Mus musculus: one gene and its partner. The protein of the gene in region 1 purifies or fractionates together with the protein of each later gene. This does not show direct contact. Links are inferred from orthologs where the notes say so. Each region holds a gene or a part of one and is shown on either strand. Other genes may lie near its edges.

What was found.
Region 2: the proteins of Prkacb (region 1) and Cdk5rap2 purify together in Homo sapiens (affinity purification with mass spectrometry; 4 studies listed by BioGRID and IntAct, counting the BioPlex papers as one, with this or other methods). This does not show direct contact. The link is inferred for Mus musculus from reciprocal best matches to the Homo sapiens genes PRKACB and CDK5RAP2.

Annotation. Positions count from the first base shown.
Region 1 is NC_000069.6:146,807,035-146,818,407, reverse strand, and holds the start of Prkacb (cAMP-dependent protein kinase catalytic subunit beta), read left to right. Parts: upstream 1-5,461; 5' UTR 5,462-5,724; coding exon 5,725-5,770; intron 5,771-5,777; exon of another isoform or gene 5,778-6,207; intron 6,208-11,373. UniProt on the Homo sapiens protein: Mediates cAMP-dependent signaling triggered by receptor binding to GPCRs.
Region 2 is NC_000070.6:70,407,636-70,411,584, reverse strand, and holds the start of Cdk5rap2 (CDK5 regulatory subunit-associated protein 2), read left to right. Parts: upstream 1-1,149; 5' UTR 1,150-1,317; coding exon 1,318-1,373; intron 1,374-3,949. UniProt on the Homo sapiens protein: Potential regulator of CDK5 activity via its interaction with CDK5R1. Negative regulator of centriole disengagement (licensing) which maintains centriole engagement and cohesion. Involved in regulation of mitotic spindle orientation.

The DNA of each region.
Region 1 (11,373 bases):
AAATACACTCGTAAAATCGGAACATCTGGATCACACATAAATCTTCTCTATCTTACATATAGGAAGTGGCAAATATATTGTTGCATCTCCCTCTGTCTCTTTTGTTTGCTTTTGTTTTTGTTTGTATTTTTTTTTTTACCAACATTCTGAGTTTGTGTTCCAATCCCTCTGCAAAAAGGAGAGGCCATAATTCCATTTAGACTCTAACCGTTGCTTCCTTTTTTCTCTGAGCAAGTTACTTAATCGCAGTCAGATATGCTAACTTCCTTTCTTGTAAAAGATGAATAATAAACCTTGGATAACAAGTTAATCTTGAACAATGGTAGTCTAAGTCTGCCTGACAAAAAAACTTTATAATGTTCTAGAATTATTTGAGCAATTTTTATGTTTCTAATAATGACATCTTCATTTGGGAAACATTATTATGCCTTTTACCTGATATTAAATTTGGTTCATGACCTAACTACACCACAATGAAAGATTATGTGAACTAAGTATTCATGCTAACTATAATCCTATGATGGCAAAATAAGTCTCTGTTTATATTTATGTGATATGATATAAAATCAAAATAGCTTGGACATAAGCAGAACAATCAATTTCTTTATTTGGCCTGGTAAAAGAAAAAAATAAAACAAAACCAAAAAACCTAAGTGCTTTCACTCCTGTGCATGATGATGTTCGATTTACTTCAGAAATTCTTAGCAATCAAGTAAATAATATAAAAGTTGGAATTTACAAGAAAAAACTAGAATATGAATGTGTATTTACTATTTAAATTTTTTTTCTCACTCCTGAGTTGATGGGAACTGGGGACAGAGACAGCAGAGCCTCACTGATTCAGGTTCTTAGTTGCGTCCTATAACAATGAAGTATAAGCTACTGTCATGGCACTTACCACTTGAAAAACTCTGGCCAAGTTACTTACTCCTTTTTGACATCTACTTATTTGGAAAAATGCAAGTAATATATACTGCATTATATATGCATTCTATATGTCATCTCTCTTCTTCGTTAGGTATTGTTGTGATGATCAGATAAGAATGACAAGAATGAGCCAGGCATGGTGGCGCACACCTTTAACTCGGGAGGCAGAGGCAGGCAGATTTCTGAGTTCGAGGTCAGCCTGGTCTACAAAGTGAGTTCCAGGATAGCCAGGGCTACACAGAGAAACCCTGCCTTGAAAAAAACCAAAAGAAAAAAAAAAGACAAGAATGTTTTTACAACAACGACAATAACAAAACCAATTTTTAAAGCAGTTCACGCTGGTTTTCCTGTCTACACAGCACTGCATGCTCATAGGTTAGTGAAAATATGCTATGGAAGGACTATCTTTCTCTGTACGCCCTGCGTCCTGCTGTGACAGTCTGTAGAAAGACGAAATACAGGCTTACCTCATGCTTGCTTATGGTGTAGCAAAGTGATTGGTGGCCAAAAGCAGCCAGTGCTCCATTCGACCATTCCAGGACAGCTGGACAGCTAAAGATTTTTGCCATTTGTACAATTCAGAAAAACCTGATTCTGAGATCGTCTTTTAGATTGTACGTGCATGCTGATTTCCTATTGAGAATGCTTTTCTAATCATCAAAAGTTTCATGTGTACAATTATAAGTGATCATTAGCATTAACTAATCAATAACCATACTTGTAAAGCATAATTACCTAGAAACCCCCACCGCCGTATCAATCCTGCATATGTGTCTAGTGACCAGCATGAATGACAAAAGTAACTAGGCATAATTTGGTGCTGTCTTTGAACATTATTTTCAATCACGGGTCTCTAATAATAGGGCAGACAAATAATAATTGCTAAGTGAGCAGTATAAACAAACCATAATGATAGCATGGAAAGGATAAGAAATTCAAAATTGCTGATCATGGTTTCTATAAACAACTGATTTACTTTCCTCTTAAAATGGACAGAGAAAAAAAGAGATGACTTTTTTTAAAAAAAATTTACTTATCGTCAGGATGTTGTGAGGGTATACATAACTTCCTTTTATGTATGCGTGTATGCATGTTCACATAACGTGGACACACCTGTGTGTGGAGGCACACATGTGTTAGCATGTGCAGGCTCCACACTGATGTTAGGAGTCTCCCTCCATCATTTCCAACCTTCTATGAGGCAGCGTGACTTGATGAACCTCGAGTTCTTAGTTTCTACCCTCTGGCTCACCTCTCCTGGCTAGTGAGCTTGCTCTCAGGATTCCACCTCTTCCTCCTTCCCTGGTAGCCAGCATCCCCAGTCTTGTGAGCAGGCTGTAGAAACACTAACCTGGTCCCCAAGTTTGCCAAGTAAGAACTTTACCTGATGAGCCATCTCTTAAGATCCCACGTTTCTAAGAGGTGCCAACGGCCTCTTTTCCAAATGAGTGATAAATGAAAGATTCTCTCTTACTAGAGACTCCTGATTGAAAATAATGTTAAGGGAAGAGAAAAATCATACACACTTTTATCATTTAAGCTAGTCTTCAGGCCTGTATACATAGTAAAAGTCACTGTTAGGGAGGCAACAGGAGTATTCTAAGGGGTCTAGGAAGGTCCTTCCCAGACAAAGTCGATAACATTTGGAGTGTATGTGATTTTTAGTAGACTTTTAACGTATACAAAACTCACATTCACAAAGCTAAAACTGGAAAAGGGTGTGATATCACTGGGTGCTGACAAAACCTCATATTCTGTGGTCTACTTGTTTTCTTTTCTCCACCACTCACGCCCCCGTCTCTCTTTGAGACAGAGTCTGTGTAACCCTGGCTACCCTGGAGCTCACTATGTGGACAAGGCTGACCTTGAACTCAGAGATCCACCTGTCTCTGCTTCCTCACTCTGGGATTATCGGTATGGGCCCAGTGTTCCCTTAGTATTGGTATTCTGTTTGTATTTAGTGGAAACTTAGGAAACAATATACCCAACATTCTCACGGACTAAACTAATTGTCTATCTTTCCAATTCAGTGACATTTCATATGGAGGGGATGCAATTCACCACAACACAGATGTCTGTCTGACTTACAGTAGAAACAAAAGCCACACCTTTTCCCATTAATTTATTCATTTTACATCCTGATTGCTCCCCCATCCCAGTCTCCTCTCACACAGTCCCTCTGCCCATCCCCTCCCCTTCACATCTCAGAGGGTGAGCCCCCCCCAGTATCCTCCCCACTCCCCTCCCCCGACCCTGGCACATCAAGTCTCTGTAGGGTCAGGTGTATCCTCTCCCACTGAGGTCAGACAAGGCATCCTAGTTAGGGAAACAGGATCCACAAACAGGCAATAGATTTAGGGACAGCCCCCTTTCCAGTTGTTGGGGGACCCACATGAAGATTGAGCCCATACTTGGAGCCCAGCTGCTTATCAGAGAGACAGAACACTTCTATCTGTCTTAATTAGGGTTTTATTACTGTGAAGAGACACTATGACCAAGGCAACTTTTATAAAGGACACTTAATTAGGGCTGGCTTACAATCTTAGAGGTTTAGTCCAATATCATCATAGTGGGAAGCATGGTAGCACGCAGGCAGAAAAGGTGACGGAGCTGAGAGCTCTACATCTTGATTCAGAGGCAGCAAGGAGGGACTGTGTCACTGACCTTAGCTTGAGCATAGGAAACCTCAAAGCCCACCCCCACAAGGCCACACTTCCTCCAAGGCTCCACTTCCTAATAGAGCCACTCCCTATGGCCAAGCATTCAAACACACGAGTCTATGGATGTGATGCCTATTCAAACCACCACACTATCCCACTTCAGTTTTTGTGGGGGGTTCTTTGGTTGTATCTAGGAATCCAAAACGCCAGAGCTGATTAGCCAGAGAAACAGGTAAATTATCAATTTTACAAGTACTTGAAGATCTTCACAAATAGTAAAGTCTGAAGAAGTGACTGATACAGTATATATATATCGATGATAGTGCACTAAGTTCCTGGCATAGTCTGAAGAGATATATATGTAGGGGTATGTTTGAGAGTTATGTCACAGTTTATTCCAGTTCGTGGTATCCCCCAATTAATAGTATCTGGTGACTAAGGTTATTTTCTTATCTTGGTATGTAAAGGACATTTTCCCCACACAATATGGCTTGTTGAAATGAAAGAGCACCAATGGTCTATTCTGAAGTTATAACCTTTCAATTGATTTTAAATAGAAATAATAAATATACCATTCTGGCGCTTTTTGAGATGGTATGGCTTTACCTTCTTCATTTCAAGGTCTTCTAATTAGCTTTGGATAAGTCCTTTAATGTCTCTGTGCCTCTGTGGATCTTAAGTAAAACAATGATAGTCTTGCCACATTTGCATAGGGACTTTATGAGGAAACTAATTACTATTTGTACAACACTTAGAACGCAGTATACTTGGTGTACATGCTTGGTAATTTAACATAATTGCCAATAATAGAAGTATGAATCTGTTTAGAATCTTCCACTCACCGCTACTTTTTTTCCCCAATAACAAAACTTTTAAAATGTTCTGGGAAATCTCCTTAGCAGCCAACAACCATCCGTTCATTACGCGCCAACTGTGGTTTGTGCTGCAGACACAAAATAAACTTACATGGTCTCTGCCCTTCCAGAAGTTAATCTTTCTGTTCTAAATTTGGAATGCTTTTTTTTTAGATAGCAAAAGCTCAAAAAAAAAAAAAAAAAAAAAAAAACCAGAACAAAAACTACCAGAGGGCTAGGTGATTAATTTCTAATAACCTCACGGAAAAGCTCAAGTACTCTCAGATGCATGGAAGCGCAACAATCAATTGGGAATGCGTTTATTTTGAAATTTGTGACTGTGTTGATGCACATAACGTACTTGTGTAAAACAGGCAACACATTCCCATATCTCTCCTTAGAAAGCCTGACAGAATTTGTGAGGGCAATCAGGTGAGACCATGAAGAAGGAACTCGGGAAGGGATAAGCTGTCAAGAATGTTGGTGATTGACCTGGTGTGTTGGGAGAATACCTAGAAGAGCGAAGGGAAGAAGTTCCAATGACAGCTGGGAGCTGAGAAAAGACATTCCTGGCCAACGCTGACCTCAGGGTCAGCAGGGTCGGCAGGACGCGGAGGGGCGCACGCACGTCCCTGCAGCCACGCAGGAAGATCAAGCGAGAGCAACCACGGCGTGCGGAACGCGGGCCACACGGATGCGGGAGCAGGCCGAGCCCTGGCACTGTGCCCCCCGCCCGGCTCTGGGGCACCGGATGCCAGGCCGAGGAAGGATCTGGGGTGCTTCCAAACTAACGGTCCCCACGTCCCTCGCTACTTCGAGCTTAGCCTCCGCGGCCAAGCCCAGCATCCACGCAACAAGCAATAAGTTACCGCTACAACCCTGCACAGAGGGGCTCCCGCCCGCCGGGGGGCTTGACCGCGTCACTTCCGGCGCGCCCGCCCGGAAAGAGGCGGAGGTCGCAGTCCGGGTGTGCGGCTCCTGGGGACGCGCCGTGTCGGGGACGCGCGTGGAGGGCGGGCTCGGGAAGGGGGAGTGTCCGCGCGCCGCCGCTGCCGCCGCCGCCACCGCCGCCACCGCCGCCACCGCCACGGTCCCGGTCTCTGCCGGAGAGCTCTCAGCATCTCTCCCGGACACCCAGCCCCTCCGTGCAGCCGGACGCCGCGCTCTAGGGTCTGCGGGAGCCTAGCCAAAGCCTAGCCAAAGTTGCTGCCGACTGCGGGGCGGGCGGCGGGACGGCCCCGGTCCCCTCCCCTCCGTCATCCCTGCTTGCGGACTCCCGGGTCATGGGGAACACTGCGATCGCCAAGAAAGGCAGCGAAGTGGAGAGCGGTGAGTCGAGTCGAAGGCCCTGGCTGGGTTCCCGCCGGATGGGCCGCCGCGCGGTGCAGCGCCCTGGGCCGGTGTCCCCCCCAAGGCCGCGCGCGAGCCACGGGCCGGGCCTTGCAGTGGCCGCGGGGGCCGGCCGCCTCCTCCTCTGTCCCCTCCCCCACGAAGGCTCGGGGGTGAGGGCCAAGCCCCGGGGCTCACTGGAGAGAGGGAAGGCGGGCAGCGAGGTCCCTGTGATCCCCTTTCTTACTAGAGCGAGGAGGGCTGCCACGGTCTGGAACGCGTCCCCAAATATGGTCCTTTTGTGATCGCACCCTTAGCTCTTCTTTCTCCCAGAGCCCCCAACACCCAGACCCTCCTTTAAGGGAGCCACAGGTAGTACGTTTGGGTTGACTTGGCTTTTTCTCCTTCTCCTGGATGTATATCAGTTTTCTCACAAGGTGAGTGTCCGTGAGGGTCTCCAAAGGTGACGTTAACCCTTAGTGTCTAAGGCTCTTTCTTTCACCCAAGAGATTAGAGATGGCAGACATAAATACAAGCAGCAACTTTATCCATTCGAGGAAAAATAAGTGAGACAGCGTTGCGTTTACTCTAGACATCCAGGAATGTTCCAGGATGCCTGTAAAACTTAGAGGCATTTCAGAGTTGAAGTGCTTTCTTCCGAGAGCTGAAAGTTCAGACGTTCAGTACTGTGTACAAAATTTCAAGACAAAAGGGTCGTGGGAATTGAGTTTCTGTGTAGCAACTTGGTTTTATATGTAAGCATACACATATATGCGTGTTGTGTAACAGGCTGTGAGAAAATTGTGTGCCATTATTCGGCTCATATTATAATTTATAATTCACAATAATTAGAGAACGGTCCCTGACTTTTGTTACATTGCCATAGGTTAATGACATCTCAGTCCTTGAAGTAAGTCTGACAATTTGTTCGTGTTACTGTAAGTAACGTCTTCCATTGTGTCTGTGTTTATAACAGAAGAATGAAGCCAATCTTGTAATTAGCTTGAAGCAAACAGCTTTTGATTCTCATGAACAAAGCAGAGTTGAGTTGACAGAAGAGAGTCTAGCTATTGCTTTTGTGGAATGTAAACAACAGTCAGATTTAACGGGTTATGTTTCATCAATAAGGTTCGTTCCAGGGCATGGAACAGCAGGGCAAACTGTTGGTGAGCATGTGACAACTTGAAAAGCCGATGTAGAATTAGGACTTCCTTGTTATCTTAGTAATTGTGCAAATGTAGTAACTAATTGTACAGACTCACAAAAAATGAAGTATGACAAAATACTATATCCATGTAACATTGCTTTTCCCCTATTTCTCTTGTACAATGTATGCTAATTGTGTTATGAAAATATGCTTGATAGTTGGATCAGCCCAGTAATTTTCTTAGCAAGTGCTATCTTGCACAGTTCTTATATTTTTAATGATAGTCCACTCTCCAGCAGTCTATACACTTCCCCTAGACGATATGCATTTAAACTAGCAGCTATGACAAAGTCTTGTGTGAACTTATTTATAGAAACTGAAGAACATTAGAATCATTTGAAAAATATTGTGAAGTGTCGAAAGAAGACAGCAGATGTCCCATGGGATATAGGAGACGGTCATGGCTCAGCTCTCAGGGCTCACAGGGGGAAGTGTCAGCCAGGTGTGCTGGTGCTCTTCTGTAGCAAAGAAGTGGTACAATGTCATAAAACGTAATGACAGAACATGGCTTACCACTCTGTCCCCAACTCTTCTGTGTACTTTTCAGATGAATTATTCCTGAAAATTTGTGGCTCATATTTTAAATGTAATCATTTAAATTTCTCTTGATACACAGAATACACTTTAAGAGATACACTTAAGAGTTTAGTCTACGAAATCATCCTAACTCAAGACCCAACCAAGTGCCAGACCTGAAGAAACAAGAATTGAGATCATGTTATCAACGAGAGAGTAAAGAACAGCTCTGAGGCTCTGACTACCTCTGCATCACTAATTAATCTGTCCTCTCTCAGAGTAGCTACCACCTGCTTGGGTTTCCTCGTAGACCTGTGGACAAGATCCTAAAGTGTCACTTACTGTGTAGCATCAGGTGAAAGGCAGAGTGTCAGTGCTGGAGCTGAGAGTAAATTAGACCACAAGACGTTACCAGCAGCACAGTGTTTGGTTTGAAGAGCTAATTAAAGATAGGAAGGTAAGATTTGCAGTTTGATGAGGAAGTGCCTCCCACAGACAGGGAATTCTAGAGCTTAATTCTAAAAATACTCCCAAGGAATGAAGTTGGGTATAAAGGTAAATGAACAGGCTTTGGGGGGTTGTTTTTGTTTTGTTTGGGGGAGGTTGTTTTGTTTGGGTGTTTTTTTTTTTTTGTTTTGTTGTGTTTTTGTCAGTGTTGTTTTAGTTTGCTTTGGTTTGCTTTGGTTTTGTTTCTTGTTAGCTTTGAGCACCCAGGGCCTTGCTCCTACACCCACAAAATTAAAGGATTCCATTCTGATCATCACAGTTTCTAGACATAAATTACTTTGAATTCCTCAGAGAACTGGGTGTTTCAAAGAACAACTTTCGCCATTATATAAGTCTCCCATGTGTTTTTAAAATTACTCTTGAAATAAATGTCTTCCAAAATTTGAGTATACTTATTTTTCATCATTTAATACACAGAACCTTAAACTTTTAGAAACAGGAGGCTACAAGTCTCAGAGATGTGTTCAATCCTTGTAAGTCAAGAATGTTTTATTTTTGAGTTAAGTATGTTATTCACATAGCCTTATTAATACAAAAAGAAAAACAAGCAAACAAAAAAACTCCATGCTTTTTGTTCTTTTAAAAAATATATTACATCTCCAAGCTGTCTGTGGAGCTATGTATTACAGATGTAACTATGTCCAGGTCAATGGGTGAAAACTGCTGGGCGTTAATTCTCCCATGAGTAGAGTAGGAAAGCCACCCTCTACCCCAGTGGTTATATAATGGTTTTTGGAAATGACCTTGAAGCTTAGACTGGGTGAGGTGGCACACACCTTAAATCCCAACACTGGAGAGGCAGAAGGCTGATCTCTTTGAGTTCAAGGCTAGCCTGCTCTATACAAAGTTGAGGCCAGCAATAGTGGCATTGTGAGATATTGCCTCAAAAGAAAGAGAAAAGGAAAAAGAGACCTTGAGAGTAGGAAGAAACTGATCAAAGAAAGTCATTAGTAGATCAAGTTCAGCAAATGCAAACTTCTTAACGTTTTGGAGAACTAATCTGGCACTTGGCACACATTGCCATACATACATTTCAAACCCTGTGGAATGGCTCTGATGTTACCCCATTTTCAAACTGGATAAAGAAGTGCTGTGTAACTTGTTAAAGGTTGCATAGTAGTTAATCAGGGAGTGACATTTGAACTTGGGCAGGCTAGTCTCAGAGCCTCTGACCGAAGGGTCCTGCTGAGCAGTCTTTTTTGAGTACCCAGCTGAAAGTCAGGTTCAGGACACACAGAATAGCCAATTCATCGTTTAAGTTTATCAGTGATAACACACTGTGTTGCTTCCAATGATGACTCTATTTGGATAGGCTAACTATCTTAAATACGAAAGATTATCATTCCTGTACCATTTTCTGGATTCATATCATCATCTAAAACTGGGAGGAAGGGCTAAATTACTTTCTTTAATTATTTCATTTTCAATTTGGTAAAATGACAAATTAACCATATATAATTAACTTTCTGCTCTTAAAACCTTCATTGCTATATAGTTTATTCCTCATTTCTAACGTGTACCTTCCTGTTAGGTAGCAAGTCAAGAGGCCACTTGAGCTTACATTGCTATTATTAATGAATTTGGAATTTTGCATCGTACCATGATTTTTCAATCGACGATAGATATGGTCTCCACTTCGCTGCTCCGTGAAATGGTTTCTAACTAGATAGAGCTGTTGGGAATTTGGAATACAGCTGCACCACTGAAGAAATGATATTTTACCTTGCATTTGTCTAGATGGTGTTTGGTAGATTGACAGCCTGTTTTTGACAAGAGCTGTCTTTACATATAATAAAAACGCCAACCAACCCTTATTCTATAATTTTGGTAATTTGGTAATAATCATGAGTGTATTTAGATGAACAAAATTCTAGATATATGTTTTCTCAAAATCATCAGCATTTCTTATAAATAACAATTTATAAACATAGTGAACAAATTAAGATGTAGTAATTTGATATACTCACAAAGTTCCCTTTGGTGGAACTTAGTTATGAATATAAGTATATATATTTGATTGAAAATTTTTTAGGATCATTTGTTGACAAATGAATTTAGTTTTCTCTTGCTTCTTATGTCTTTGAACTTTTTATTTATCAGATTGACAAGTTTCTTAAAGGGTAATTAGAAGTAGAGAGTTGTCAGTTAACTGGCAGAGGTACTTGAAAATAGTCTTCTTTGGGTTAAAAGAGAAAAATCAGAATTATGAACTCGGCTTTGACTGATAAGCACATATGATCTCATTATTTCTGATTTTTATTTTTGTGTGGATTACTGTTTAGAATCATCTCCCATTTGGGAGTCATTTGTCCTGTTCCACTCAGGCTCCTCCGCAGGACACAGGCAGATTGCTGCTTCTCACTGCTGGCATCAAGAAAGCGGCTTGGGTAGATCAGTCATGGCTAAGAGGTAGAAACAGCCGGGAACGAGAGGCTGGGTAAGCCAGAATAGCTCAAGATTCTCATGGACAGTTAGAAGTTAACCACAACCAATTGTGATAGACCATCGAATTAACGAAGTAAAGCAATCATTATCATTTCTAAGTTTAAGACTACAGAGTCAGTTCAGTGAATAAACTGCAGACAGCAGGACCTGAGTTCACATCAGAACTCATGGAAAGCCAGACACAGTAGTGCACAGTTGTAATTTCTGTGCCTTTATGGTGAGAGGGAGGCCAGGCTAGGAGGATCCCTGGAAGTTAGCTTGTGTGTACTCTGCCCAAACAACAGAGGCCCTGTGTCAGACAAAGTGGAAGTTGCGGGCTGAGATTTTTCTTTGATCTCTGTTACACTCACATGCATATCGTGCACACTCACTCACTCACTCACTCACTCACTCATGCTCTTCCAAGACTATCTTGTAGTGGTGGCACACACCTGTAATACCAGGAATAGATGGGCTGAAGCAGGAGGATCATGAGTTATCAGCTCCCTCAGTCATATCACAGGAAACCTGGGCGCAGACATAAAATACTTTATAAAGCTTTTTTTCCTTGTTCTTCCATCCATTTACTCATTCATTTATTCAGTACACAGAAGTAAGCCTACGTGTTAGAGTATATGTGATGATGTAAAAATAAAGATGGGTTATATCCAATTCTAAAACAGCAACAACAAAAGTATTTCATGAAAGGTTAGCAGGGCAGCCAAGAGAAGGAATGGTCTTTTCCATTAAGACAGGGTCCAATAAAGACTTTCAAAGAGGTGGACCCTTAGTGGGATACTGAAATGAGAAATGTTTACCAAAGAGGCTATAGGAGAAAATCAAAGGATAGAAACAGCACACTATGTCACGATTAGAAAGACAATTGCCTGTTAGAACTAAATGGTAGACTCTGGAGTTGGTGATCAAGATTGTATAATGAAAGAACTCA
Region 2 (3,949 bases), on another chromosome or scaffold:
TATAGATCGCATGTCTGAACTTTAAGTTCTAAGTTGGAAAAAGAACAGAATACTTGTGGAATATAGCCTGTGTGCACCATTTAGGGCGTTGGGGTTTAGAAGGACCTGGGCTCAAATCATATCTCTGTTTATTGCCAGTTTGCAAAGAAAGAGTGTTTAGGGTTGTAGGGACATGAGAATTATTATTGAAAGAATTCCTAAAGTTATCTCAGGTTATTCTTACAAAAAATAACTTGCAGATTGTCCAGTCAAAGGGATGTGACAGAACAGGTTTACTGCCAGGGACCACTGTTCCACATCCAAGCCTTCTCCTCTCCAGTCTTCCCCAACCCTCCCCTCCCCTTCCTTATTCCTGGGTAGATTTATTAAAGAAAAGTGACAAAAACTCCTGAGAGTGGGAGGAGTTTCAAGGCAGGAAAAGCTGAAATTCCAATTTAATCTGGACCTTTGTTTGGGAGGGGAGAAATGTCTCTTCTTAGAATACATTCACTGGCCAAGAAGGTTAAAACATGGTTCCAGAGTGCTGAGATGTTGATACGAGGAGCTAAGGATCTGGTTTTAGTGGATAGTAAACTTGTTTATTACTTTGGGCAAGTAATTTCTTCTCTCTGAGTCTCTGTTTACTGATTGCTGGTGCATGAGTCCTAATAGTAACAAAATGCACATGAAGTATGGGTGACCCCTTTATAGGCATGCCGCTTGAAACTAACCCTGTAAACTACCGTTTGTAATAGCGCTCCACAGGTGGTATTTTTCTAAATCGAAGCAGAACTCAATTATCTGAGTCTCAACTTAAGGCAGAGCCTTTTGGGTAGAAAGAGCCTAAGGAGCGATTTTGGAGTCATGAGTCTGGAACACCAAACAGATTGATACTCTGAGCTGTTCCACCTCCCGCTTAAATTAACTGATCCCGGCGGACTTTTACCCTCAACAAATATGGCGCTCGCCTTGGCTTCGGCCCGAATGCCCTCACCCACGAAACATGGCTACCGCTTCTTTTCTCCTAGTGTTGCACGCTGGAGTGCGCAGGTTCTGCCCTGAGTTAAGATGGCGTCCAGGCAAAGCTCTTCTTGCCCGGTTTCGGGTCGTTGCAGGGCGGCTTCACCGCGCGTGCCTGGGTGACCCCGCCTTGTTTCCGTAGGAAGAAGCGCCGGGAAAGATGGCGGCGGCTGCGGTTTGAATTCCAGCGGCGCCGCTTGACTGAGAACAAGAGCTGGGTTGGAGGGGGCGGGACCTGGGGAACCGAGCGCGCCGCGACTGCCGGGGAACCAGTGGCGCTGCCGCCGCCGACACCGGCGCCACCACTCTGCGTTCACGATGGACTCGGGGATGGAAGAGGAAGGCGCCCTGCCTGGGACCCTCAGCGGTTGCAGGTGTGGCCCTGGCTTTGGGATTCGTGGTACCTGGGTTGGGGTTCCCGTTGATGGCGACTCACTCCCTGGAGGCCTTCGGTTTGCTTGGGGATGGTCTCGGCTGCGCCCCGAGTGTGGTGGGACCTGGGTGTCCAGCCAGCACTACATTGGACTGTGTGTTGTGTGTTCTGGAGTACTTTGAGGACGATGTGTAGGCTAGGCAGGGGGGCTTTTTGAAAGAGTGTGAGGAGATGGGTCTAATTAGTAGGGGGTGGCTGGAACTGGACATCAGAGCACTTAGGTGGTTGATTCTTGTTTGGGGCTTTGCATTCATTATGGGGAGTGTAGTTGTTATTTTAGACTTTGTTTATGGGGTCACGGGACAAAGTTCTGTGGAGCCTTGGCTAGAGATGGACAAAATTTAATTAAAAAAACGGCCTATACCCTGACCACGTAGGTGACCTTGGTAAGTTGACTTCCCCACTGAAAAGTGTACTAACGCCGATGTGCACTCACCAAAAACGGGATGAGAATGAAAAGAAGCAATGGCTACCCAGCAGTTGTATTGGCTGACATTCAACCGTGGTGAAAAGGATGATGACTACCACTATTACAAGTTGTGGCTTCTCTTCAGATCCCCTGGGACCAGAAATTGGATTATTTGGGGCATTTAGAGCGGGCGGATGGCATGAGAACTAAACTAGGAGATCTGCTAATGCTCTCCTCCTTTCTCTCTCAGCCTTGACTGGACAGATGCTGCATTCATACCTGCTCATTCATCTCTTAATCTGCCCTAGGCCCTCCAGGTGCCTTGTCATCTTCAGGATGAAGTTCTCTACTGTGGCTTCCAAGTTTCTCTATAATTGGCTGCATCTGCCTCTCTAGCCTCCCCACCCCCCACCCCACCCCTTCCCAACCCTGTCTCTTCTCCAAGCCCTCTACCCTGTGCCTGACTGCCAAGCTCGGTCAGGAACGATCTTACTGAGTTGTTCCTTGTTCTCAGGCTTGGGTACCTGCTGTTTCTGCTGTGTCCCTTATTTACATCCAGGTTCCACTGCTAGGAGATCCACACTGACGGTCCCACCCTTGTCTGGGCTCTCTGTACTGGGCTCTCTAGCTCCCCTGACCTGTCTCTGTCCTAACGTGGTTGACAGTGACCAGCATAGAAATACAACCTAGGATGTATATTTAATTAAAAACTTAGTCGTGAACTGGGCATGGTAGCATATGCCTTTAATCCCAGCATTCAGGTGGATCCGAGACTTTAAGGCCAGCCTAATCTACAGAGAGTTCCTGGATAGGTAAGGCTATACAGAGAAACCCTGTCTGGAAAAACCAAACCAACAGTAACTTTCAAATAACATCATCATCAAAAGCTTTCTGGTAGTCACAATTTAAAAAAGAAAAGAAAAAGAAACAAGTGAAATTCCTTTCTTTGTGGTTGGTGCTGGAGGTTGATCCCAGGGCCTCTCACGCCTGTTCAGCTGGTGCCTTACCTGGACATAGCACCTTTGGAAGCAGGTGAATTAATCACATAGATTATTTAGTTTAATATTTCCATATGTGATTCTAGCAAACTCTATAGGAAAACTTGTTGATAAGGTATTTTTATCTTTTAACCTTTCATCTTTGGCATCTGGTATGAATTTTTACACCCAGATTGCTTCTCACTTTGGGCAAACTGCATTTCGACATATAGTTAGAGCAGAGTGGCATTTGTCAAAGCACTGAGTGAAAGGTGGTTCTATGAGGGGCTGCTTCTCTCCCACGGTTACACGTGGGACCCTGAAGCTCAGCCGAAACGAATGGTCTGGGGTCGATGATAAATCAGTACTTAAGTCCAAGCTTCCCGATTCCAAAGTCTGTTCTGCATTCTGACTAGTATGAACTAATGAAACGGAGTGTTCAAGGGGCTCGTGCAGAGCTTCTGGCATTGAACTGTCCCTTCAAGAGTGGCAGGACTATTCTGGGCCCAATGAGTCCTCATTAGGTGACCACAATAGGAGAGGATAGTTCCGATGATGAAAGCATCCCTTTTCGTTTTAATATACTGCTTTCTGAGCATCCTTCTCAGGGTAATTTGCAAGCCCCATGTGTATAGCCTAAACTGAGCCCAGTTTGTTCTTGAATTTTTGTTGCATTAGGTCAGAGTATACCTGACCCAAGTTTATCGAATATCAGGTTGCTCTAGCACATGGCCACTAAGTGCTTGCTGCTGTGTTAGCAGCAGACTGCAAGTACATGTTTAGCCTTTAGTGTAGTTTGATTTTTTTTACCATCATGGATGCCTGGAGAAACAGTCTGAAGAGAAGATGGGAGGGTGGAGTCAGATGAGGGTTTGATGGTTACTGAGAGAGAGAGCTTGGATCCAAGGGATTCTTGGGCTGTGAGAGTTCAGGAGAACCGTGATTCCTTAGTTAGCAAAGTACTTGCCTATTAAATGATGTGAGTTTGATCCTCAGATCCCACATAGAAACTGTTGGACATGGTGGTGCATGCTAGAGATGTTGAGATCGAGGAGAGCTGGGTCTGGCTAGTGAGCCAGCCCAGCCAAATCTGAGAAACCGAGGGCCCCGAAACAAGACAGAACAAAACAG